2 linked regions of the Stegostoma tigrinum genome follow. Each later gene encodes a partner of the first gene's protein in a complex. Links are inferred from orthologs where the notes say so. Each region holds a gene or a part of one and is shown on either strand. Other genes may lie near its edges.

The links.
Region 2: tent4b (region 1) and zcchc7 share a complex: the UniProt entries of both Homo sapiens proteins name them as parts of the nucleolar TRAMP-like complex. The link is inferred for Stegostoma tigrinum from reciprocal best matches to the Homo sapiens genes TENT4B and ZCCHC7.

Annotation. Positions count from the first base shown.
Region 1 is NC_081369.1:27,979,040-27,991,903, reverse strand, and holds the start of tent4b (terminal nucleotidyltransferase 4B), read left to right. Parts: upstream 1-6,881; 5' UTR 6,882-7,106; coding exon 7,107-7,555; intron 7,556-12,864. UniProt on the Homo sapiens protein: Terminal nucleotidyltransferase that catalyzes preferentially the transfer of ATP and GTP on RNA 3' poly(A) tail creating a heterogeneous 3' poly(A) tail leading to mRNAs stabilization by protecting mRNAs from active deadenylation.
Region 2 is NC_081356.1:12,260,184-12,273,082, reverse strand, and holds the start of zcchc7 (zinc finger CCHC domain-containing protein 7), read right to left. Parts: upstream 5,947-12,899; 5' UTR 5,932-5,946; coding exon 5,849-5,931; intron 2,890-5,848; coding exon 2,228-2,889; intron 1-2,227.

The sequences.
Region 1 (12,864 bases):
AAACATCAGCTTTCCTGCTCCTCTGATGCTGCTTGGCCTGCTGTGTTCATCCAGCTCTACACCATGTTATCTCAGATTCTCCAGCCTCTGCAGTTCCAACATAAGGGGCCTATGTTTGTCTTCACTAATCAGTTTCTCTTCATGTATCTATAGAAGCTTTTATAATCAATTTGGATGTTTTCTGCAATCTTTTGGAATCTCAATGTCCTCCTTTGCCAAATTCTAAATTGTCCTGAGTTCTTAAGTGTGCTGCTTCTTCCAATCAATTTATAAACACCTTGTTTGGATCTAAAACAGTCCCTAATTTCCTTGGTGATAATGGGAACTGCACATGCTGGAGAATCCAAGACAACAAAGTGTGAAGCTGGATGAACACAACAGGCCAAGCAGCATCTCAGGAGCACAAAAGCTGACGTTTTGGGCCTAGACCCTCCGAACCAACTTCAGGGAATCTCTCTCCCACTGCAACTCTCTTGTAATCTCTTCACTTAATGTTATTTACTTCAGTTAATGTTTGTCCTCAAGGCTCTCCAAAATCAAGCTGCAAATGTAGCTCACTATGATGTAAAATGGATTCCCTGAGCTTATGTGTTCCACTGATTTGACCTCTTGGAGCTCTCTGATGAAGGGTCTAGGCCCGAAATGTCAGCTTTTGTGCTCCTGAGATGCTGCTTGTCCTGCTGCGTTCATCCAGGTTCACACTTTGTTGTGCCTAATTTCCTTAGTTAGCCATGGGCAGGCCATCTTTCCTGTTTTATTTCTGTGCCAGACAGGAATCAACCATTTTTGCAGTTCCTCCATACAGACTTAAAATGTTTGCTATTGCCTGTCCACTACCATTCCTTTAAATACCGTTCCCCAATTTATCATAGTCAGTTTGTGCCTCATACCATTGTAATTCCCTTTATCTAGCTTCAGAATCAATTACGCCACTTTCCAGCTTAATGAAGAAGTCTTATCCCTTGCACAGCTAGACTGTTAATTATTGATTTGTCATTACACAATACTTAGTCTACAATGGCCTGTTGTCTAGTTAGTTCCTCAATGTACTGATCCAGCAAACCGTCCTGTACACACTCCAGGAATTTCTCTTCTACAGTATTATTACAGTTTGATTTGCCCAATTAATGTGCAGGTTAAAATCACCTATTAGCACAACAGGACCTTAATTGCTTAATTTCCTGCTTAATGCCTTCCCAACATTGCCACTACAGTTTAGGGGTCCATATGCAATCCCAAGTATTGTTTTCCAGCCCCTGGTCCCTCTGAGGCTCCTTGTGCCCAGTCATGAGAAAGATGTAATACACTGCTGTTGATATGGACGTTCTTTTAAGTTGTTGGTTGGTTCACCGAGCTGGCTGGTTTTCATGCAAATGTTTGATCTCTTCGAGGTAACATTGTTAGTGCTGTGTAACCACCGTTGAAGCGCTGTTGTTCTGTCCCACTCTGAATTTACATAGTCTGATCTGTCAAGGTGGGCAGTCTTGTTTCTAGTTTTGGACCATTGTGGCATCTAGGTGGGGTCTATTTCAATATGTTTGTTAATTGCATTGGTGGTTGAAAACCAGGCCTCCAGGAATTCTTGTGTTCTTTTAAAATAATGGATTATCTTCTCTGACAGAAAGAAAGAGGAGAATTGTTGGTTACCTGACATTAATAGGTACAATGGATAAGCAAGACACGCTGCTCATTTTGATGTCACTGGAATGTGTCCGACCTTAGACTGCTCTGGACTGACTCTACAAGTGTCACTTCTGACTTACATGCCCATTGAGGGAGCTACATCCAGCCCTTTTCTAAGAGTTCCTGCAACTTCCCCATTTCCTTCCCCGGCAATCATACCCACTCATTTACGCATCTGTGAATTCTGGCTGAATGTAAAGTCAATCACACACTTGTTGATCAGCAGCTATGTTCTCGAAATGATCCTGTAACTAATGACGCCCCTTTACAACTGTCAATCAGGATTTCTTAATGATACAATGAGGTCCCCCTCTCCTGGTTTTGATGAAAGAGGATCTTCCACCTTACCCAAGTGGCCTGGAGGCATACCTGCAGAGCAGAGTCAGTCTGTGGAGTCAAAGATAGAACAAAAGGAGAGATAATGGGGCTGTGGATTGCAATGCATGATTAACTCATGCCCACCTAATTTGGTTATTACATGCCCTTAAGTGGAGAAGATCTACAGTCCTTGTCCAGTCTGGCCTATTGGTGATTCCAAACTCATACTAATGCGGTTGGCTCTTGACAATCATTTGAAAATGCCTAGCAAGCCATTCAGTTGTTGGCAACTCACCGCCATCCGGGATGTGAAGTTGCAGTGACTTAAAATGGAAACCAAAAGCGCAATACTTCAGATGTTGGAAATGTGATGACCTGAAAGTAATTAAATCTGATGTTTCCCTTAACAGATTCTGCCAGGCCTGCTGAACATTTTCCTCACTATTTTCAGCATCCTCAGTATTTATCTTTTAGTTTTCCGATTTTGTCAGGTGACTGTTGTTTCTGTTTCCACTGCTTGAATGCAGCAGCTTCCCACTGACTGAATGCCGTGATAGGAGCTCAGACTACTGGCTATTAAAGGCTATACAAACTCAATGCTGACATCGTGGTTTTGTATTACATGTTGCAAAGTGTTTGCAAGGGGTCATATCAATAGAGCAAACTGCTGCTGAGGCTTGTACCTATTCGGGTAAGGAGATCTCCTGTCATGGTAGGCGAGGCTGTATGTCATTCTCATGCATCCACTGTGGCCTGTCAGCAGTCACTCTGACATTCATCACCCATCTGCATCTCAGTCAATCCCTCCAAACTACCCAACAACAGATTACAAGAATTTTATTGAAGCATCACCCTGCTAAAAAAATTAGTAACTCCATCAAGCATAAGCACTCTTTTTACTCAGGAGAAAGAACATTTATCATTCCACCTCTGCCACTCCACCAGTGCCATTACTGCTGTCTGTAAGCCAGCTCAGGCATTTGCCCATGTCAAGATGTCACAATCTGAAGTGGGACCTTCTAGGCTTTCAGTTGCTCAAGATTCAAAATTTTCTCTACTAAACATCCATAGCTTCCCAACAACTGTGCTGCAGTCATTGAGGAAGCGTTGCATTTCCAGCACTAGCATAATCTGGCAGGGGTCCCCCAGTGTGGTTTAGACATGGCAAGTTGTATCAGCAAATCAATGGTCTGCTCAAATACAAATGTCATGGTAGCATGACATTTATTGATTAAAATCGAAGTGTATCTTATGTGATTATAAACTGTGATTGATGTATATTTTGAAATATCACTTCTTGTTATGCCTCACTGGGGTGGCATGCTGTAAATCAAGTCCTGCTGTTTCTGGAATCGGCAGAAGTTAAAGGTTGTAAACAAATGCAAAATTTTCCAATTTACTCACCTTTCAGACTCATATTGACAAAGCATGAACTTCTGCATTTAACAAGAAATAATCTATTAATTGTGAACTGTTGATACAACTCTGCTAGCTAAAACACACAGCCCCTTATAAACTACCCTGACACATTCAGTCAGGGATTTAAAAAAAACATAGGCATTATGGTGGATGGAAGGACTGGGAATGTAATTCAATAGTTCCTTTCACAGTTTGATGAGATGTTTCTTGTGCTGATCGGAAGACTGCTTCTTGATCTTCCTTCTCTGGACACTTCCACTTTTTTGCAGGACGCATTGGGGTGACAGGGTCCAATTGAAAACATGATCAATTTAAAAAGTTGCAACTTACAGCAGCTGGAAAAGGGAAAATAAAGTGAAGATTTTCAGGCTTGAGATGCTTCTTATTGCAAAGCAAACAGGACAGCTGCTGTCTTTGCAAAGATCCAGTTGCTTTCCCCAAACATTCACACCCGAAGCCATTCAGCTACCATGAAGTCCATCACAGTTGGTGATAGGAAGAAGGACTTTGTCATCGATAACGGATCACTAGTCCACAGACCAGTTACTTGTTGCCAGCCAATGCTCCACTAATACACACTTCTTGGCTCGAGATCATCTCCAAGCAGAATTCCACTACTGCTTGAACTAGTAGCTATGCACAGTATTTACAATGAATATCAGTTTTTTTTCTAAAAGTGCAGCAATCCTTGTTTTAAAATGTTTAAAATGATTCATTTCTGCCTCATCTTTTAGTCCATGATCAGGAATACAGAAAAATAAAAAGACTTGGTGTTTACATTTTGAGTTTTGGTTTTTGAGTTAGTAACCTGTGGACTTTGCAATGTCTGAAATTAATAATTAAATTCTGTAACCGCATTGATACATTTTAAGAGAGGTTTTGGACATAGCGTTAGAATAATTGGGATTCTGTGTACCACCAATGGATATTTGTTTGGATTGTTTTGCAACTCTGGAAAGTAAATAATGGGGCTGTAAGGTCTCCAAGAGATTTTTTGGACTTGACCTTTTTTTTGAAAAAGCATAAGACCCACAGCTTAGCAAGGCGGATTAAAAAAAATTCCCTTGGAGCCATCCTGTGAAGAACTTAGATGAGGATAGTTGCAGAGACTGGTGCTCTGGAGAAAAACATGGTGAACTAGGTTACCTTTCAGAAAACCCAGTTCATATCCCACTCCTGAAGTTGGGCTAAAACCCAGAGGAGGTTATTTTTAGCAGAGTTTGTTTAAGCTGTGATGTATAATGGCTCTCGAAAGAACTTATCTGTGATTCTTGTCAGTATGTTAAACTGACAAGTGAAATTGTTTGAGTCAGGGACTCTTGCGAGAGTCCTGTGGAAGTGGTATTTTTGGTCAAGGTGTTTTCAGATATCGTACCTTGATGTTTTGAGTGATACAAAAAGAGCTTGGTTTTTTAATCAATTTGTAAGGTCCTATTTAGAATTAGAATTTGTTTTATTGTCATGTACTTACTGCAGTAAGGCAAAATTTAGAAGTTGCCACTTATGGCACCATCTTAGGTACAAAGGTACCGAGGTACACATTCTTAAGTACAAATTTTTTAAGAAGGAAAACAAATAGAAAAATAATAAAAAACAAAAAGTCCAGCATTTGAGATCATGGGAATAAATTACAAGATAAAGAAATAAAAAGTTCAGAATAATTGTCCTTTCAGCCCCAGTCCATGCTGACACCTTGGCTTCACCTCCAGGCTGAGAGACTGCACTGGAATCATCTTGAAGCCAGAAGTCCATGCTGATGCCACACCACACTATCATGCACCAAGAGACTGCCATGTCTGTGCTGAGGCCAGGAGTTCAAGACATCGCTGAGTAGAAAGGGTGGGAGGAGTAGGAGGAGGGCAAGAGAGAAACAAAAATGAGAAAATAGAAAAACAAAGCAGATGACATTTGGCTGATGAGTCTGACTGTGCTGTCATCATGTTTAAGAATCTAGGAATCAGTGGAAGTTTTTTTTACTGAGCATTTTAAATTTGTTAGAACTTGGTTCATTCTATTTTAACTTCATTTCTTGTTAATAAATTTGTTCTGCTGTTAAAGCAGGATCAGGAGCATTGTGTGCTTTCAATGAAAAAACATGCTAAGTTGAAACCAAGACATGATCTCTCAAGCCAAGTTTCTTTTGGGATCTGGCCTGTCTGCGAAGAACATCAGCTAAGATCATAACAATAAATTACACTCCAGCATCATGAGCTATAATGTGAAAACATGAGAGAAGCCACTCCGGTTTGTTCTGATGACTCAAATGCAGCTGGTACAGTGTACTACTGCGTAATTAAGGGGTCACGATGGCTGCCAGGATAATGAGCATTGGCCTGCATGAGTAGTTCAGCTGAATGTCGAGGGAGTGACAGTCCTTTAGATTCCAGCAAAGGGCAAGTTTGACTGGGGCAATCAGTTATATAAAGTTTAAAGAGATAGTGATACTTCTGTGTGCTTTGAGTCTCTAAAGGATACTGTTGGGAAACAAGTTGAACGTCGTTTTAATGTTTTAAGGCTCTTTCTAATTCCCTTTAAATAGCTTTATTTTTGTTTGGTTTAGAAAAATGTATGTTTTGTTCAAGAACATCTGCAGCATTGTGTGAAATCATTGTTAACAACGTAGTTAGTCACCAATGACAAAAAATAAACATATGATCTATCAAACTAGATTTAATTCTGTAATTGACTTGTCCCATGTCACCATTAGCTTCGATTGTGTCGTTGACATTAGTGCCAGTTAAGTACAAGGGTTACTCAACAGTGGTGCACTAAGACATTGCTGAACTACCAGTTTGCATCTTTCACATTTACCTATAATTAAGAACTCAAATGCTGACATTGAATATCTGAAGTGAAACAGAATAGCTTGGAAATCAAAGTAGGTCATCATGTCAGTCATAGCATTGTAATCCAACAACATAGTAAAGGCTGAGTACGAGAAGAATGGGGGGGGACACTGAGGGCCGAGTGCCAGGGCAATGGGGGGGGCAGTGAGGGCCGAGTGCCAGGGCAATGGGGGGGGGGCACTGAGGGCCGAGTGCCAGGGCAATGGGGGGGCAGTGAGGGCCGAGTGCCAGGGCAATGGGGGGGCAGTGAGGGCAGAGTGCCAGGGTAATGGGTGGGGCCCCTGCGGGCTAAGTGCGAGGGCAATGGGGGTGGGGGGGAGACAGTTAAGATGTGCGGTAGGGACAGTGTGTGCAGGGGTGAGAGTGATTATGGAGGTGGGGGGAAGGACAGTGTGTTGATGTGGGGGGCGCGGCATTTCGGGAGGGCGGTTGGACGTCGGGGGGATCTGAGGCGTGAAAAAGACCGTTCGAAAATAAACCGAAAAAAAGAACGTAGGCGCGAGACCCTTTCTTTGTCGCGTAACATCCTCGTCGCCGTGACATCACAACGGGCGGCCAATTGTTGCGCGAGGAGTTCGCAGCTTCCAGCTCGCGAGTCATACGGCGGTCAGGGCACGCTGCGCGCATGTGCAGTGAAGCGTCTGTCGCCATTGCTGTTGAGATTGTTCTCGTTCCGGCCCGGTGACAAGCTGACGGGGGTATCCGACAAGATAGAGGAGCTGACGGATGGTGGGAGGGAGAGAAAGAGAACAAGGTTATTAGAGACCGAGCGGAGGGTGAGGAGAAAGAGAAAACGAACAGACGCTCGTTTTCAGTGAGTATTAACCTCGTCCTCGTTTGATGGATCCGAGAGTAGCCTGGTTTCAGCCAGAACAGCTCGGACCTGCCAACATTTTGTGGATGCAAATTTGGGAAACGACGCAAGGGCTGAGGAATCTGTTCTTTAATAATAACTGTGCGGCGGCAACGGCGACGGCAGCGACGAGTGTGGGCACCGAGACTATGTTGAGGGATAGGAGCAGCCAGGGAGGAGGGGACTTAGGCGTTCAGAGGGATTTCCTCCCACTCGAGCCCAGCGCAAATAACACTAACTTCTCAGCTAGCCCAGGAGAAGGTGGCTGCAGGAAGGGCTACCCCGACAACAGCAATAGGACCAGTGGCACGGGCAATAAGAGGAAACGGGACAACAAGGCAAGCACTTTCGGGTTAAACTACAGCCTCCTGTCTGGAAATGGCCATTACAACGGAACTCCCTGGAAAAGCCGGAACTACAGCGAGGGAGTCTTGGGGTAAGAGTTCTTAATTGATTCTCTTCCCCCCCCCCCAAAAAAAAAGTGGCTTCACGTGATCCTCCTCTCCGTGGATGCTTGGTGAAAGCTAACTCCAGTGTTTGTCATGTCGCAGGAGTTCGCAAATCGTGTTTTAAAGTCAGCTCTGTCAATGCCCTCGTTTATAATGCAGCTAATTCGGTGAACATCATAGATTGTCCACGTGTAAAAGTGGTACTGTCCTAATGAAAATATGACTGAAAAAGTTTATTTTTTGAGTTACAGAAGAAAGAATTTTGCGTTTACTGCTTTTCAAATCACGCATTTGGTGCACTTTATCACTTCATGATGTGTTAGCAATAGAAGGAAAGTTTAGCCATTTTGTAAGACTGCCTGTTTAGGATCATTAACTATACCCATCAGACGCTGTCTTGTAATACAGAGTCCATTTTGTTTAATTACATAAACAGTTTTTATTAATGTGAAATGGCTACATCAACCTCTTGCCCTATTTCATCTGACACTTGGAATGTGTGAAATTTTAGAACGTTCATATTGTTCATTAGTTGACTTTTGCACTGATGTATGGTCTTTGAGTCTAAACAATGTTTAAATTTGTACAGAAATTTTAGTGTTTCAGTTAGCATCTCAAAAATAGGAATGTATTTAATTTACTTCAATTGTGCATCGCTATAGTACAGATGTTTGTTCAAGAGGATAATTGAATTTCTACACTGCAGATAAAAGCCATGGTGCATCAAGTCTGCACTGACTTTCTGAAGAACATCTCAACTAACCCATGGCGGGGGGGACCCATCCCCATAACTGCATTAAGCATGACTAATCCACCTTGCTTATCCATCTATGCGCACTGTGGGACAGTTTAGCATGGCAGTGACCCTTAGCTGCATATCTTTGGACTGTGGGAGGAAATGGGAACATCTGGCAAAAACCCATACAGACATGAGGAGAAAGTCACCCAAGGCTGCGATTGAACCTGGATCTTTGATGCTATGAGGCAGCAGCGCTAACCACTGTGCCACCACGAGACATTGGAAAAAAACTTGTTTCTTTGCCTCTTTATTTTACGATGTCTGCTTTCACTTTGAAACATCACTGTAGGTGATGGCTTTTTTTAAAATATGATTGGTACATTGTGCTTATATTACAAAAAAGTTTTCCCCTCACACAAAAATTGAGAGCAGACATGCATAGTGAATTTCATTCTGCCCACGTGGTTTCCATATCTGTTTCTTGAAGGTCAATATGGGTAAATATGGCAATTTGAGCATGTAGATTTTGGAGTGAGTGGCAAACTGGGGATTTGGAAAGAACATTCCCAAGTGTAGTGCTGAGAATTGGATACAATATTCCCGTTGAGGCCAAAACAGAGTGCTTATAAAAGTTTGCTTTATGTTCCTTAAACCGAGTATCCCACACATCTTAAAACCAACTTTCATAACCTGTTGTCCTGCCATCAACAGATTTGTGCACATGTACCTCTGGACCCCTCTGTCCCTGCACTACTTTTAGCAATGTTTTTCATTCGTTCTATGTTGTCTGTTTCTTCTTTTCCACATGTAGGTTGTGGGGTACCAGTCAATCTGATGATAAACAACCCAGTTTTACAAGGCCAAAAATAATGCTTTTGCATAAACTTGACATATGAGCCTACCTCACAGCAACAGAGTCCCCCACTGCCACCAAATCTTCCTGACTATGATACGCTGTATTCACATTTGCATGGGATTGAGCCGACAGTATAGGCTATGTTGCAGGTTTTGTGGAAATTTGAGATATGTCTACAAAGCAGACCCGTGTGGCAAACCCCTCAAAGGGAAGTAAGACTTTCAACAAAACAAATGAAGTATGCATCTGGATTCAGGCTAAGGATCATACACTTGCTTGTGTCAAATGTGCTATATCGAGGCAGTATTAGTGGAAAACTACTGCAAGCAAGGTAGAAGCAGTAATCATACCTAAAAGAAGATACCCAATAACATGGCATCCCATTGGGGTCACCAACTGAAATTTTAGGGCTATGAGTTCCAAAGCAACATGTCCTCTTTAGACCCTTGCAGTTTTTAAAAATAATGGACACGATTTAACTAACAAATCCTCGAGGTGGTCTTGCTGTGTTGAAAAGACCTGTGCAAAAGTAGATAACCAGGTGTAGTGCTGGTTGAGCACAGCAGGCTGAGCAGGAAAGTTCATGTTTTGGGTCCAGACCTTTCTTCAGAAATGGGGGAGGGAAAGGGGATTCTGAAATAATCAGGGAGAGAGGGGGAGGCGGATGGAAAATGGATAAAGGAGTAGAAAGGTGGAGAGGAGACGGATATGTCAAAGACGTGGGGATGGAGCCAGTAAGGTGAATGTCGGTGGGGAGTTCAGGTAGGTCAGTTCAGGGAAGACGGGCAGGTTAAGGAGGCATCATGAGACTGGTAGGTAGGAGGTGGAGGTGGGAGGAGTGGATCAGTGGGAGGAAGGATGGACTGGTTGGGGGGGGTGGCGGGGACAAGCTGGGCTGGTTTTGGGATGCGGTCGGGGGGAGGGGAGGTTTTGAAGTTTGTGAAATCCCTATTGATACCATTGTACTGCAGGGTTCCCAAGCAAAATGAGGTGCTGTTCTTGCAACCTTCAGGTGACATTGTTGTGGCACTGGAGGGGGGCCAGGATGGACATGTCATCTGAGGAGTGGGAGGGGGACTTCTGCTGGTTTGCGACTGGGAGGTGTAGTCGTTTGTCACAAACCAAAGGGAGGTGTTCCACAAAGTGGTCTCCAAGCCTCCGCTTGGTTTCCCTGATGTAGAGGAGGCCACATCGGGAACAGTGGATACAGTATACCACATTAGTAGATGTGCAGGTGAACATCTGTTTGATGTGGAAAGTCATCTTGGGGCCTGGGATGGGTGTGAGGGAGGTGGTATGGGGGCAGGTGTAGCACTTGTTGCAATTGCAGGGAAAAGTGGTGGGGCTGGTGGGGAGCGTGGAGCGGACAAGGGAGTCATGGAAGAGTAGTCTCCCCAGAAGGCAGACAAGGGTGGGTGAGAAAAATGTCTTTGGTAGTGGGGTCAGATTGCAGATGGCTGAAGTGTCGGAGGATGACACATTGGATCTGGAAGTAGGTGGGATGGTACGTGAGGACGAGGGGGATTCTGTTTTAGTTGTTCTTGCGGGGAGGGGTTGTGAGGGATGAGTTGCGGGAAATTCGAGCGACGTGGTTGAGGGCGTTTTCGAACTCTGTAGGGGGGAGGTTGCGGTCCTTGAAAACCAAGGACTTTTCGATGTCTGGGAGTGGAATGTTTCATCTTGGGAGCAGATGTGGCGGACTTGAAGAAATCGGGAATTGGGGATGGCCTATTCGCAGGAAGGTGGGTGAGAGGAGGTGTATTCTAGGTAGCTGTGGAAGTCGGTAGGCTTGAAATTAATATCCGTTTCCAGGTGGATTCCAGGATACCATTCCAGGAACAATCCCAATTCCGAAGCTACATTGGCCCTATTCCCACCACTTCCTCTGTTATATTGATGACTGTATTTGCGCTGCCTCGTGCTCCTACACATAGCTCGAACAGTTCATCCACTTCACCAACGCCTTCCACCCCAACCTCGAGTTCACCCGGACCATCTCCGATACCCCTCTCTCCTTCCTGGACCTCTCTCTTTCCATCTCTGGCAATCATCTCAAAACTGATATCCATTTCAAGCCTACCGACTCACACAGCTACCTACAATACACCTCTTTTCTCCCACCGTCCTGCAAAAATACCATCCCCTATTCCCAATTTCTTTGCGTCCGCTACGTCTACTCCTGAGATGAGGCATTCCACTCCCGGATGTCCAAGATGTCCTCGTTTTTTGAGGACCGCAACTTCCCCTCCACAGAGGTTGAAAATGCCCTTGGCCGCATCGCTCGCATTCTCACAACTCACCCCTCACAACCCCTCCCCGCAAGAACAACCAAAACAGAATCCCCCTTGTCCTCACGTACCACCCCACCAACCTCCGGATCCAACACGTCATCCTCTGGCACTTCTGCTATCTGCGCTCTGACCCCACTACCAAAGACGTTTTCCCTCCGCACCCTTTTATGTGCCTTCTGGGGAGACCACTCTCTCTGTGACTCCCTTGTTTGCTCCCCACCAGCCCACCACCCCCGGCACTTTCCGTGCAATCGCAGGAAGTGCTACACCTACCCCAACACCACCTCCCTCACCCCCATCCCAGGTTCCAAGAAGACCTTCCACATCAAACCGATGTTCACCTGCTCATCTTCTATTGTAGTATACTGTATCCGCTGTTCCCGATGTGGCCTCTTCTACATTGGGGAAACCAAGCGGAGGCTTGGAGACCATTTTGCGGAACACCTAAGCATAGTTTGTGACAAACGACTGCACGTCACAGTCGCAAACCACTCCACCTCCCCCTCCCACCCCTTGGACGACATGTCCATCCTGGCCCCCCTCCAGTGCCACAACGATGCCACCCGAATGTTGCAGGAACAGCACCTCATTTTGCTTGGGAACCCTGCAGCCCAATGGTATCAGTGTGGAATTCACAAGCTTCAAAATCTCCCCTCCCCTGACCGCATCCCAAAACTAGCTCACTTTGTCCCTGCCCCCACTAACCAGTCCATCCTTCCTCCCGCCGATCCCCTCCTCCCACCTCAAGCCCCACACCCACCTTCTACCTACTAGCCTCATCCTGCCTCCTTGACCTTTGCGTCTTCCCTGGACTGACCTACCCCCATACTAACTCCCCACCTACACTCACCTTTTACAGACTCCATCCCCGCCTTCGACCAATCTGTCTCCTCTCGACCTATTCTCCTTTATCCCTCTTCTATCTGTTTCCCCCTCTTTCCGTATTTAATTCAGAATCCCCTTCCCCTCTCCCATTTCTGAAGAAGGACCTAGACCCAAAACATCAGTTTTCCTGCTCCTCTGATGCTGCTCGGCCTGCTGTGTTCGTCCAGCTCTACACCTTGTTATCTCACATTCTCCAGCATCGGCAGTTCCCACTATCCCTGTGGAAAAATAGATGTTTTCAACTCAAACTCTGGACCGAACAGCAGCAGCAGCCACCAACCCAGGACTGAATACATCATGTGTACAGGGACCATGCATTGACTTGAGCTTGATGAACATGTTTGAGGATGATCCTTGGAAATTGTCAGAACGTTTTCTCAATAATAATTTTTAAAAATTCATTCATGGATGTGGTCGTCACTGGGTGGGCTGGCATTTATTGCCCCATCCCTAATTGCTCAAAGGACAGTTAAGAGTCAACTGTGTTGCTGTGGATTTAGATTAACATGTCGACCAGAGCAGGTA
Region 2 (12,899 bases), on another chromosome or scaffold:
CTTTCCAGTTTAAGAGCAGATGGAAAATCAAATTGAAACAATAAGTTACAGTGCAATTGATTTTCCCAAGAAAACTGAATGTCCTCCATTCAGGTCATGGTTTTCCATTTTGAATGACAAACATTCAACATTACTTTAATTTGGCTCCAAATATAATCAAGAATCCCTGTTGGTCATCATAAAGTAAACTAATTTTGTGCAAAATTCAATGTTCGGTAATTTAATGGCTACACCTAAATAAAGTTGAATATTTGTCTTCTAGATTGTTTGGATAAACATAGCTGTTCAAAATATCCTGAACTGAAAAATGCACTATACGTGAACCAACGAATAGTAAACTCTGCACAGTAACACCATAATATCTCTTATCAGACAACAGGTGTTATAACTCCCTTTGAAAATCCTCACTTTAAGGCTTCCAAAAGAAGATTAACACCATCAAAACAAAATCATGAAATAGCATGCTAAAACAAGACATAAATTTTTGGTTCATCTTATTTTGAGAAATCCCCCCTTGATTTTACAACAATTAATACATATAAACATACTAAATCTGAATCAAACAAGTGGAATGTTTAAATTGAGGTAGGAAAATAAATCGGTTTGTGACCTAAAAATTGAAACACAACTATCATGTCAAAATGATACAGGTAATACTAAGAGTTAGACAGATGGGCTACGTTTCTACACTGCATGTTAAAATTTAGCTTCTATTATCTAAAGAGACATGCGATTTTTGATTTCTAATGACACTTAAGTTCCATTTACATCAGAAACATGACACCGAAGCAAAGCAGCTTTTCGTTGAAAATATAGCTGCAATACTTCAATTTCCTAGAATCAGTACAAAATGAAATCATTTCATACTGACCATAAAGTTTTAGTGCAACTGTTTTAATTGCAATATTAGATATATGATAATATTTAATGTCTGGTGCAAGTTCTTTCTCCCCACCCCCAATTGATTCTTGTGTTGAGAGCACCATACAATTCACTTTTGGGTTAGTTGTCCTGAAAAGGCAGGACAGGTTCTCCTTCTTAAACCACTGGTAATAGTTGATACACTGAATAGCTTGATTGGCCAGTTCAGTGGGGAGTTAAGAGCTATGCTAGCGTAGGACTGGAACTGCAACAGGCTGCACTGAATAAGGATGGCAAGTTCCCTTTCTTGTGGAATATTAAGGAATCAGTTTGAATTTTATAGAAATCCACCAACTTCTCAGCTTTTTATTCCCTTTACAAAGAAAAGCTGAAATCAAATTCTTAAACTGAATTATAGTCTAGTTCTCTAATTACTAATCTATTGATAATCACAACACATATGCCAAACAATGCAAACAATCCCTGAATAATGCACTAACATGCTAAATGATATTATACACTCAAGTCCTGGAATGAGTTTGACCTTTCTAATCACATATGAAAATAATAACCATTGAAGTAAAGCTTTGGTATTTGTGAAATACCTTCTACCTGTATCAAATATTTTAACTGATTTTTGTCAAATATTGTAATAGATTGAAGTATTTTCTGGTCTCAACTAATCAGTAAAATGGGTTTTGAACGACTGAGCATATTTCTTCACATACATGGAGCAGGTGAATGCTCTTTCCCAAATGCAAGTTCACTGGTGTACAGTTAGCTTGGATAAACTGCGGAACCTTTTAGCACAGTAATTGCACCTGAATGGCCTCTCCTCAGTGTAAGATCTCAAGTCTGCAGTAAGGCTGGTGGAATGCTTGAACCTCCAACACATCAACATTTCAGACTATACTCTGCTAAATACTTCAAATAGCCAAACAAATAGGGTCTTTAAAGGAATGGTCCAAATATATGCATTGGCAGTTGGCTGAGTAATTTTCTTGGTCATTTAATACTATTAACACGTAACATTTCACGTGTTTTGTGCAATTTAGCTTTAAATAGTCTGAAATACCAGATTTGAAAACAACTTTATTACATTTAATTTACAATTGTGATTCAAAATGTGACTTCTTTATTGTTATGGCATGCAAAACATTATGTTTTTCTGGCAAGTGAGCAGGTACTACGCTTCATTATGAAATTGCTTGATTTCAACATTTTTAAATGGCAAGAATTCAACAACTAGCCTATTATCTGAAACAAAACTGTTATCAAAGCAGAGAAATGTTACCTTAGCTTACTACACAGAAATACTTGCCATAACAGTATGGTAAATGCTCTGATACACCATCAAAATTCCTACCTTCTTCGTTTCTCAGTGTTCCGCAACCTACAACGTTGAGTTGGATCTCATCATCATCTTCTTCTTCCTGATCATGGCCCAGCATCATCCAACTCTCTACATTTTCATCATCCTCTGTTTCTGAATTTTCACCTCCTTTAATCACTGCTGGGTTCTGTGGCAACTTTCTGCTCAGACTGTCCGTGTTCTGTGACAATTTCTGCAGTTCGGTCAGCCAACCCACACTTGGCTCCAGGTATTCAGCTGACACTTGATCAGACTTCTCTATGGATTGATCTTTTCTTCCAAGGAGTTCACAATTTGAGGGCTTAACACCTTTGCAGGCATATACACTATCGTCATCTTCAGTATCTGACAGAATAATGATATCTGGATCATCTGAAATGACTATGACATCATTGCCAGAAGGTACAGGTGCGTTTTTTGTTTCCTGTGTCAATTTTCCATTGTCTTCAACTGAAGCAGAGTCTGGATGGGCTGAGTCCATCTTTCTATCCATCATTTGTCCATTGAGGTTGTTCGCATAGTGCACTTGGCTGTACAGCTGGAACTCTAAATCACTATCTACTCCAGTATCACTGGATGACTCCTCACGATAGAGTTCATCTTCATAGGCCTCTTTATCTTCATAACCAGCAAACATTGTCAAAGGAGAAAATGTTCTGTATAAAAAGAAACAAAAAAGGTTTTAAAAACTAATATCAATTTTTTTGGGAAAACAAATACTGCTATCAGAGAATGGGCATGACAAAATTAAAGCAGAGTTAAAAATCTTGAGCACAACCTCACATTCCCAATCCAAATCGCTAGTGATTTTTTTCTTTGTTGGGCTATTTGGGTACAATCTACTCACAAATTTCACAAAGCAATTTGAATCTTCCTAATCATACACTTTTTCCAAATATTTGTATTTTTTTTCCCTGATGCTAAATTCAGTGGTCTATAGCTTGTTGGTTTAACCTGCCTTGTTTTTTGAAAAACATTAAGACATTTTCTACTTCCAATCTTCTTGTACTATCCCCAAGTATTGAGTTTTGAATGATCATAACCCACGCTTGCACAACTTCTACATCTATTGCTTGTAATATCTTCAAGTGGAAACTATCTGGGCCTGGGTATCTGCATGCTTTTAAGGTAAAATCTAATGCAGTAGAAGAAGAACAGGAACAGGGCAGACATACTCAAGGGGAGATCTGTTAATGCTTTTGGGGCAGATTTAAATTGGATTGGTAGGGGGATGGGATGCTGACAAGTAGTTCAGAGGGGAGAGACACTGAGATGGGACTAGAAACTAAAACAAGTGAGTTTGAAAGCCAGATGAATTGCAGCATAAACAGAAGAAAGAAGTAAGTTTAGAATATAGTTTTAATACTAGGAGCTGACAGAAATAAGATTATTTACATAAGGATAAGCCTGGGGAATACAGGCCTGAGAGTCTGATTTTGGCAGTGGGTGAGTGATTCTGAAAGATATAGAATTTATATGCATTTGGAGAGGCAAGGAATGATTAGGGACAGTCAGCATGGTTTTGTGTGATGGAAATCGTCTCTCACAAACCTGATTGAGTTTTTTTGAGAAAGTAACCAAGAAGATGGATACGGGCAGAGCAGTAGACATTGTCAAATACTTACTAAAGTCCAAGTAAACAAAGTTCTGCATGGTAGACTAATGAGTAAAGTTATATCACATGGGATTGAGGGTGAGCTTGCCAAACTGGATGCAAAATTGGCTGGCCAGTAGGAGACAAAGTGACGGTGTAGAGTTGTTTCTCGGAGTGGAAGCCTGTGGCCAGTGGTGTTCCACAGGAATTGGTACTGGGTCTACTTTTGTTTGTCATTTATATAAATGATTTGGCTGAGAATTTAGGAGATATGGTTAGTAAGCTTGCAGATGACACCAAAATTGATGGTATAGTGGTCAGTGAAGGAGGTAATCTAAAATTACAAAGAGATCTTGAGCTATTCAGGCAATGGGTTGAAGAGTGGAAAATGGCGTTTAATTTGGATAAATGCAAGGTATTGCATTTTGGTAAAACAAGGGCAGGACTTATACAATTAATGGTAGCGCCGACCAGGAAGACCTAGGGGTTCAGGTACAAATTTTTTTGAAATTTGTGTCATATGTACACAGAGTGGTTAAGGAGATGTTTGGCCCTTTGAGTAAAGGAGTTGGGATCTCATGTTAAGGTTGTACAGGACACTGGTGAGACTTCTTCTGGAGTAATGTGTACAGTTCTTGTCATTCTGCTACTGGAAGGATATTATTAAATTGGAGAGGGTTCAGAGGAGATTTACAAGGATGTTGCCTGGACTGGAGGGTCTGAGTTATTAGGAGAGGCTGGGACTTTTTTTTCCACTGGAGTGTAGGAAGTTGAGAGGTGGCTTTTTGGCCACAGATTCAGGTGTAGTGAGAGAATAGCTAATGCATCAGTGTCTCTCAAAACCTCATCTCACCTCACCACCATTTAGTGAATCTGACTCTAATTATCTTTGCAGCCCAGTGGACACATGAAGTAGTGATTGCTGAGTAGCCAAAGCATACCATTTTGGAGGATACTCAAACTTCAGGGACCAAAGCCAGAACGTTTCAAACTGCATACAAAGCCATACCTAGGTATGCAGACTCCTGAACCTAAGAAGAAGATTCAGAACAACAGGAGAAACACAACTTTTATCCCTGAGGACTGCTTTACAAGGAGCGATTGAATAGATTAGATCTGTACTTGTTGAATTAAAAAAAAAGAGACAACATGAATGAAACATGCAAGATTTTTAAGAGGTCTTGACATGGTAGATGCAAATGTTTCCCTTTGTGGGAACGTCTCAGACCACAGGACATAATCTCAGAATAAGGAGTCACACATTTAAGACAGATGATTTAGGATACTTATCAAAAATAAAGTGGATAGGCCAGGATTTACAAGAATGTTGCCAGGACTGAAGGGTTTGAGTTAAAGGAGAGCCTGCATAGGCTGGGACCTTATCTCTTGAGCATCAGGGGCTGAGGGGTAACTTCATAAAGCTTTATGAAATCATAAAGGACAAAGATAAGATAAATACCTAGGGTGGGGCAAGTGCAAAACTAGAGGGCATAGGTTTAAGACGAGACCGAAAAGATTTAAAAGGGGCAACTTTCCCCCCCACACAGAAGGCAGTGTGTGTATGGAATGAATGTCAGAGGACATGCTGGATGCAGGTACAATTACAACATTTAAAAGACATTTCGACAGGCACTTGAATAGGAATAGTTTGGAGAGAAAAACCACAAGAACTGCGGATGCTGTAAATCAGGAGCAAAAATACAAGTTGCTGGAAAAGCTCAGCAGGAAGGCACCTCATCCAGGAGGGCAACTGACTAACCAGTCCTCAAGGCATGGTGTGAGTCACGATATAGCTAATGGGAAAGGAGGCCATTCGGGCCTCCTTGGACTCGGGGCGAGCGGATATCAACGAGCCCTCAGTTGGGAGTGACAGCGAATACAGGTGCGCGGGGCGGGCGGGAACTTAGCGGCACGTGACCACCTCCATTGTCTCCCTGTCCCTAGAAGGGGGTGCCTGGCTTCCCAGCGCGTGCTCACGGACGCACGCGGCAGATCAGCACGTGCAGGTTCGTGAGAGGTACCGGACAAAGTTGAAGGAGTCGTCAGGGCCCTGGGACTCTAACGGCTCCCTGTTCGGCCCGGCACCCTGACAGGCTGCCTTCATGTATCTTCTCCGGCGCCGACCATAAGTTTCCTCGTGTCTCTTCTTTTTAACAGCCCGTTTTGCCGGAAAGTTTTACTCAGTACGCACCAGCCTGTTTACATCAGGAAGAAACTGCCCAAAGCTCCTGGCTCTAACAGTTGCACATTTGCAGCTGGCCGACTAAAACCAGCGAACGCCTCAGATATTGTGCCGGCGGAGAAAAGAGCTTCCGCAAATTTTTATCCAGCTGGCCGGCTATGAATTTTCCCTGCGTTGGCTCTTTCGCAAGATTACTATTAGCAGCGCGGTACCACACAGGCGTTTAAGCCTCTCGATACTGTGTGGCACAATTTACTTTTCATTCCTTCAAGCAAGTAAAGCAGCAACTTTTTCAAGCGAAAAATTGGCACGGTATTTTGGATTATGACACTTTAAATTGTGGATTCAAATCACATTCCAGCGAAAATTGATATAATCAATGTAAACAAGGCAACGCTAAATTCGATTTATAGACACTTCTAGTCAGTGTGTGTAGATGCTATCACACAGCTTTGGAGCAAGTGGAACATGAACCCGGTTCTTGTGGTGGGAAGAGAAAACCCGAGTGATCCATCAACATGACCCCTGTCACAATATGCAAAACCTTTTTAAAGCCATCAGGGCCATCTATACACAGATCAAATATTTAAAAAATCCTCTTCATTTACAGAGTGATGTCTGTCTTTGTCAAATATGTCAGTGACACCTATAAACACTAGAAGGAACATTCCCAACATCTCAACTATGAAACCAAAGTGTGACGGAGTACTCTCCAGGCTCTCTGCCTGTACATTGTAGTAGAATCCATGGGTGAATAACTATCAGTTGGAAAGCTACTGCAAGCAATTAAATAGATGAAGAACAACAAAACTTACAGCTCCAAAGGTATTCCAGCAGAGGTCTTCAAAGCTGATAGGCTTTTGTTCGCATCAAGACTCCAGTCACTGATCCTCTGGAATTGACAGAATCTGTTCCACCTCCCTCCAAGGAAAGTGACTATTTTATAACTATTTTCAATACGGGAGATTGATAATGCCAGACAACTGTCAAGGTAGTTCCCTGTTGTCGATAGCAGGGAATATCTTAACATGCCTAAAATCCTGATGCTGATTTCTTTGCCTGACAAAATCCTCCCAGAGATGCAGAGAGCCTTTAGGCTGTCCAGATGAACTTCTGGCATGGTTTTTCTTACCTGACGGATCCACGAGAAATGTTGAACTCAAAATGAGAAACTCTTCATCATGTTTATTGACTTGCCTAAAGTATTTGACTCAGTAAATCGCAAGGTTCTAGGAATTAGGTTTTGTTGCGATGTGGACTCAAGTATGGGGTACAAGAGTACATTGAAAAGCATACAATGTCACCATACGCTGTGCCATCTTAGGTTCAAAGTACTAGGGTACAAAATCTTAGTTACAGAAATGCTAAAATAAACAAAGGTAAAAAGTTCAGCTTTTTACAGTCTTCTTACCATAAAGTAGAAAAAAAAAGTTAAAATGTCAAACGTTACTTTCCTTTCTTGAGCCATGGGCCTGCAGATGCTCCAAGCTGGCCTTCCCCAAGGGGGCTTGCTGTCCCCTATGCTGAGCTAAGACCTGCCCAAGCACGCCAACCTTTGCTACTGCTCACAAAGCTTCAATTCTGACTGCCGCCTCTTTGCCGACACTGCTGCCACCATCCTTCATGGCCAGCCATTGCTGATGCCATCTTTTGGCACAGCCACTGCTGCTGCTGCCATCTTTCATCACCAGCTGCTGCCTCACTGCTGTCACCATCCGCGCTTGCAATGGGTCCCAGCTGCTGGCACACACCATCACTATTACTGTCTACATGGCCTCCAAAAGGTATGGAAGAAACTTAAAAAAAAAACTGAGAAAAGACGAACAAGGTGAAAGAGAAAAAAGAAATCTGTGGAATAGATAAGACTCGGGCTCAAGGCACTGGATGCTGCCTAGCCCACCCCCACAACTTGTGGCAACAAAAATAAAAATTGCTGGAAAAGCACTACTGGTCTGGCAGTATCTGTGGAGAGAAATCAAAGTTGACATTTTGGGTCCAGTGACCACCATCAATGAATTGCACTCCAGAATATTCACAAAATGTCATCACAATCCTGCAACTGCTTCATGATGATATGACTACAACTGTGTCTTGAAACAGGTGCCTTCAAGGTACAGATCAGTGCCAAACAAGGCTGCATGATAGTCTCCATGCAGTTTACTATCTACCTGACCATGGTCATTCACTCCTTCAAAGATCAGCTGCCCTCTGGTATGTGTACTAAACTTTAACCTCAGTTGCTTCCTTTCAAAATTAAGCTTACCACCAAAGGCAGACATGAACTACAGTATCCAGGTGACTAGTATCATTGCCTCACTCTGCACTAGCTTTGCTTGACACTTTGCAGGAGTAGGCCACTAAGTCCCTCAAGACTGGTCTGCCATTCAGTAAAATCATGGCTAGTCTGACAATATTTCCATCTACCCGTAAACCTTTCATTACCTTGTTTGTCAAGAATCTGTCTCCCACTACCCTAAAATATTTGAAGACCCTCCTTCCCTTGCCTTTTGAAGAAGAAAGTTCCAAATGGCTCACAACCAAATGTGAGGCAATGAATTTTGAGAGGACTAACAAGGCGAGGAAATACACATTGAATGGTAGAACCCTAGGAAGTACAAAGGATCAGAGGAATGTTGGTGTACATTTCCACAGATCCTTCAAGATAGCAGGTCATCTGGATAAAGTGGTTCAGAAGGCATATGGGATACTTGCCTCTGTCAATCAAGGCATTGAATACAAAGGCAAGGAGGTTATGATGGAACAGAAACAGATGTTGTTGGAAAAGCTCAGCAGGTCTGGCAGCATCTGTGAAAAAAATCAGAGTTAATGTTTCGGGTCTGGTGACCCTTCCTCAGAATAGGAGGTTATGATGGATCTGTATATATTAGTTAAGTCTCAGAGTACTGTGTGCAGTTTGTTTGTCACACCATAGGAAGGATGTGATTTCACAAAAAAGGGTGCAAAAGAAATTCATCAGGATGTTGCCTAGGTCAGTGTGATTCAGTTAGAAAGAGAGGCTAGATAGGCTGAAATTATTTTCTTTAGAGCAGAGAAAGCTAAGGAGGAATCTGACTGGGACGTACAGAGTTTTGAGGTGCAGAGATAGGATAGATAGGGAGAAGTTGTTCCCTTAGTAGAGTGGTCAATAGAAGAGGGAGCATAGCTTTAAGGTAAGAAGCAGGAGGTTTGAGGGGGGATTTGAAAAAAAATACCCGTAGGACTGTGGGTATCTGGAAGTCTTTGCCTAAAGGGCGATGGAGCTATGAAACCTAAAGATTTTTTGGCAGTTTTAGACGAGAATTTGAAATGTCATAGAACACAAGGCTATGGGCCAAATGCTGGAAAATGGGATTTTGATTATAGGTGTGGGCACAATGGGCTAAAGGTCCTCTCTTCCTGGGATGAAAACTGTACAAAGCTACAACCTTTTGTGGCAACAGAAAATTATCTCTGTCTTATATGGGTGTTTTGAAACGATGATCCCGAATTCTAGAATCTTCCACAAGAGGAAACATCCTTCCCTAAGTTATGTCTTTAGCAGACATAAGCCAATCTGTTCAATCTTTCCTCATAAGTTATCCGACTCGCTCCAGCTTTTAGTTTGGGAAATTTTCTCTAAACTGCTTCCGTGAATTTATATCCTTCCTGCAGTAAGAAGAGTATTACTGTACTTAGTAGTTATCCTCACACCAATGCCAATATAACTAAAACATAACTCCCTATTACTCACAATAAACTATAACATTCTATTCACTTCTTAATCATTTACTGGACCTGCTGAGTAGCTTCTTGCAATTCAATAGGAAATCCATATCTCCCTGCACCTCAGAGCTGTGCAATCTGTCACTATTTAAATAATACACTTCTTTAATTCTTCTTGTCAAAATGGGAAATTTCACATTTTTCCGTATTATACTGTATTTGCCAGATGTTTGCCCATTCACTACTGGAATCCTAGCCTCTGACCTGCACTTGTAGTGACAGTATTTATATGAGTGGTCCAATTCAGTTTCTGGTCAATGGTAGCTTCCAGGAATTTGATAGTGTGGGATTCAACCACTGTTGTTCTACTGTATGTCAAAGGGTGATGGTTAGATTTCCTGTTGTTGGAGATGGTCATTACTTGGCTCTTGTGTGGCGCAAATGTCACCTGCCCCTTATCACCATGGCAGTGCCATAATATGATGCAAGGTAACCTCAATGTGAAGGTGGAATTTGTCTCCACAGAATTGTGTGGTTATCACACCTACCGATATTTTGGACAGTTGCATCTGCACATGGTCAAATAAGTTTTTCCCTCTTGTTAGTACCCTCGTCACCTGCTACGAGCTAGAAGCTATAACCTTTAGGACTCTGCTAACTCAGTCAGTAGTGCTGCAACCAACACATATTGAAGTTCCACCAAGATTATATTCTGTGCTATTGCCATCATCATTGCTTCCTCCAAGTGCTGTTTAGCATGGACGTGAGCCATTTCATAAGCAAAGGGGAAGAAGTAAGTGGTAGTCAACAGGAAGTTTCCTTTCCCTGGTTCAACTTCATGGGGTCCAAGGTGAATGTTGAGGACTGCCGGAATAATTCCTTTCCACCTGCATATCACTGTACTACCACCACCTCTGGTGAGTCTGTCCTTCCAGTGAGATGAGAGAAACCTGGGAATTGCGATGGTAGTGTCTGAGACATAGCCAAAGCCATAGAATCATACCTTACAGATAAGGAACCTTCAACCTATTGTCTGGGGCAGTTATCACAATTTGGGCACAAGTGCAAAGATGGTTTCATGGTCAACTGGTTTGCCATTATCATTTCAGGTGCTTAAGTTAATGCTAGATGGTCCATCTAGTTCAATACTTTCAGATTTGAAGCTGTTTTGAACTGAGTGGCTTGCTAGGCCATCTCATAGGCAGTTAAAAGTCAGTTGCTGTGGGTCTGGAATCACAAGTAAACCATATGTGGGGAGGGTGACAGATTTTCCTCCCTAAAGCACAATGGATTTTTACAACATTGGTATTTTTTTAATAATTGAGTTCAAATTTCATGATCTACAATGGTAGGATTTGAAAACATATCCTGAGAATATTCACCTGCGTAATTACTCCAGAGAAAATACCACTGTACCATTTCCTCCCTTCTAGTTACTCTGATCATAATCCCACTGAGAAGAAACCCAATGTGAATGTTAAGTTATAGAGCGCAGCTGAATTAAGAGTCATTGCTTGGTTCTTGTGTGACGCCATTCTTGTTCCACGTGATTCTGGTGGTCAATTTACTGTTCTAACAAATTCCAGCGACAATTAAATACTTCTGCAGTAAAACCATGATGAGTTGAATCCCAGGAAATCCACCTATAAATTCATGTTAAGTGGCAGGGAGGTCATACCTGCATGAGAGGGGCAGCAGCAGCAGTGGGTGATAAATAACCAACCACAGAGAGACCATTCAACCTAATTCTATCTGTACAGGCTGAAGTATGTCACAGGAAAATGGGCAGATTATGGAGAGTATTTCTTTCATGACTCTTTTGATTGTTCAATTGGTTTAAATTAGGAGATGTTGTTACAGCTGAAGAAGAACATTAGGAATTTCACATTTAAATTATTTGACACCCAAATTAATTAATAAAATAGAGACGATTGAGAAGGCAATGCATTGCAGCTTTAGTATGTGGTGTTGGTGAATGCTGCTGTGATCCATGGTGAACACATCTGCAAGGGTTAATGTGGAGCTGGAAAAGTGCACCAGATGAGACAGCATCTGAGAAGCCGGAAATTCTGTAAGGATTGTCTGCTGAAGAAATTAAGCTCAGAGTTGATGAACTGGAGTTCAAGCTGCAGCATATCAGGAAGGGTGAGAGGTATCTGGACACTTAAACTCCTTATATCAAATTTGCTCTGTGTTCAGGAACAAAGGGATAATACTGGAAGTGAGGGAGATAGTCGGATCTAGTAATTAGCTTTGCAGTAGCTTCTTCCTTGCCTAATAGCTAATAGTTCTTGGCCCCAACGTGGACGAAGGCATAGAGTGTGGGGTGAATGAGCAAACTGACCACAGCACTATGGCAAAAGTGAGGGAGGAGAAGAGAAATATAGTAGTGCCAGGGTACATCATGTTTAGGGAATGCGGCAAAGACAGAGAATTCCAAAGACTGTGTTGTCTACCTAGTATCAAGATTCAGGATGACTTTAATTGGGAAGAGAGGAACCTAAAGTGGGAGAGGAAGTGTCAGTTGTCATGTTCCAGGTAAAAGTGCAGCTCAAAAATTGGTATAGGAGAAATAGACACATCAAGAAAAATAGCCCCAGCCTGTTCAGCCTCTTCCTATGGCTTAAACCTTTCAGCCCTGGAAACATCCTTGTATATCTTTTCTGAACCTGTTCAAGTTTTACAACATTCTTCCAACAGCAGGGTGACCAAAATTGCATACACATTCCAAAAGTGGCCTAAGTAATGTCCTATACAGCCATAACATGACCTCCCAATTCCTATATCCAATGCATTGACCAATAAAGGCAAGCATATCAAACGCCTTCACTGTTCTGTCTACTTGCAACTCCGCTTTCAAGGAACAATGAATATACACTCCAAGCTTACTTTGTTTACAAACGTTCCCCGGGACCTTACTATTAAGTATATAAGTCCTGCCCTGATTTGCCTTTCCAAAATGCACCACCTCATATTTATCTAAATTAAATTCCACATGCCACTCCTCAGCCCATTGACCCATCTGATCAAGATCCCATTGTACTGTGAGTTAACATTTTTCGCTGTCCACTGGACCTAAAATTTTGGTGTCATCTGCAAACTTACTAACCATAACCCTATGTTAACATCCAAATCATATAAATGATGAAAAGTAGTGAAATAGAGAAATGGTGCAAGGTTGTGAAGAG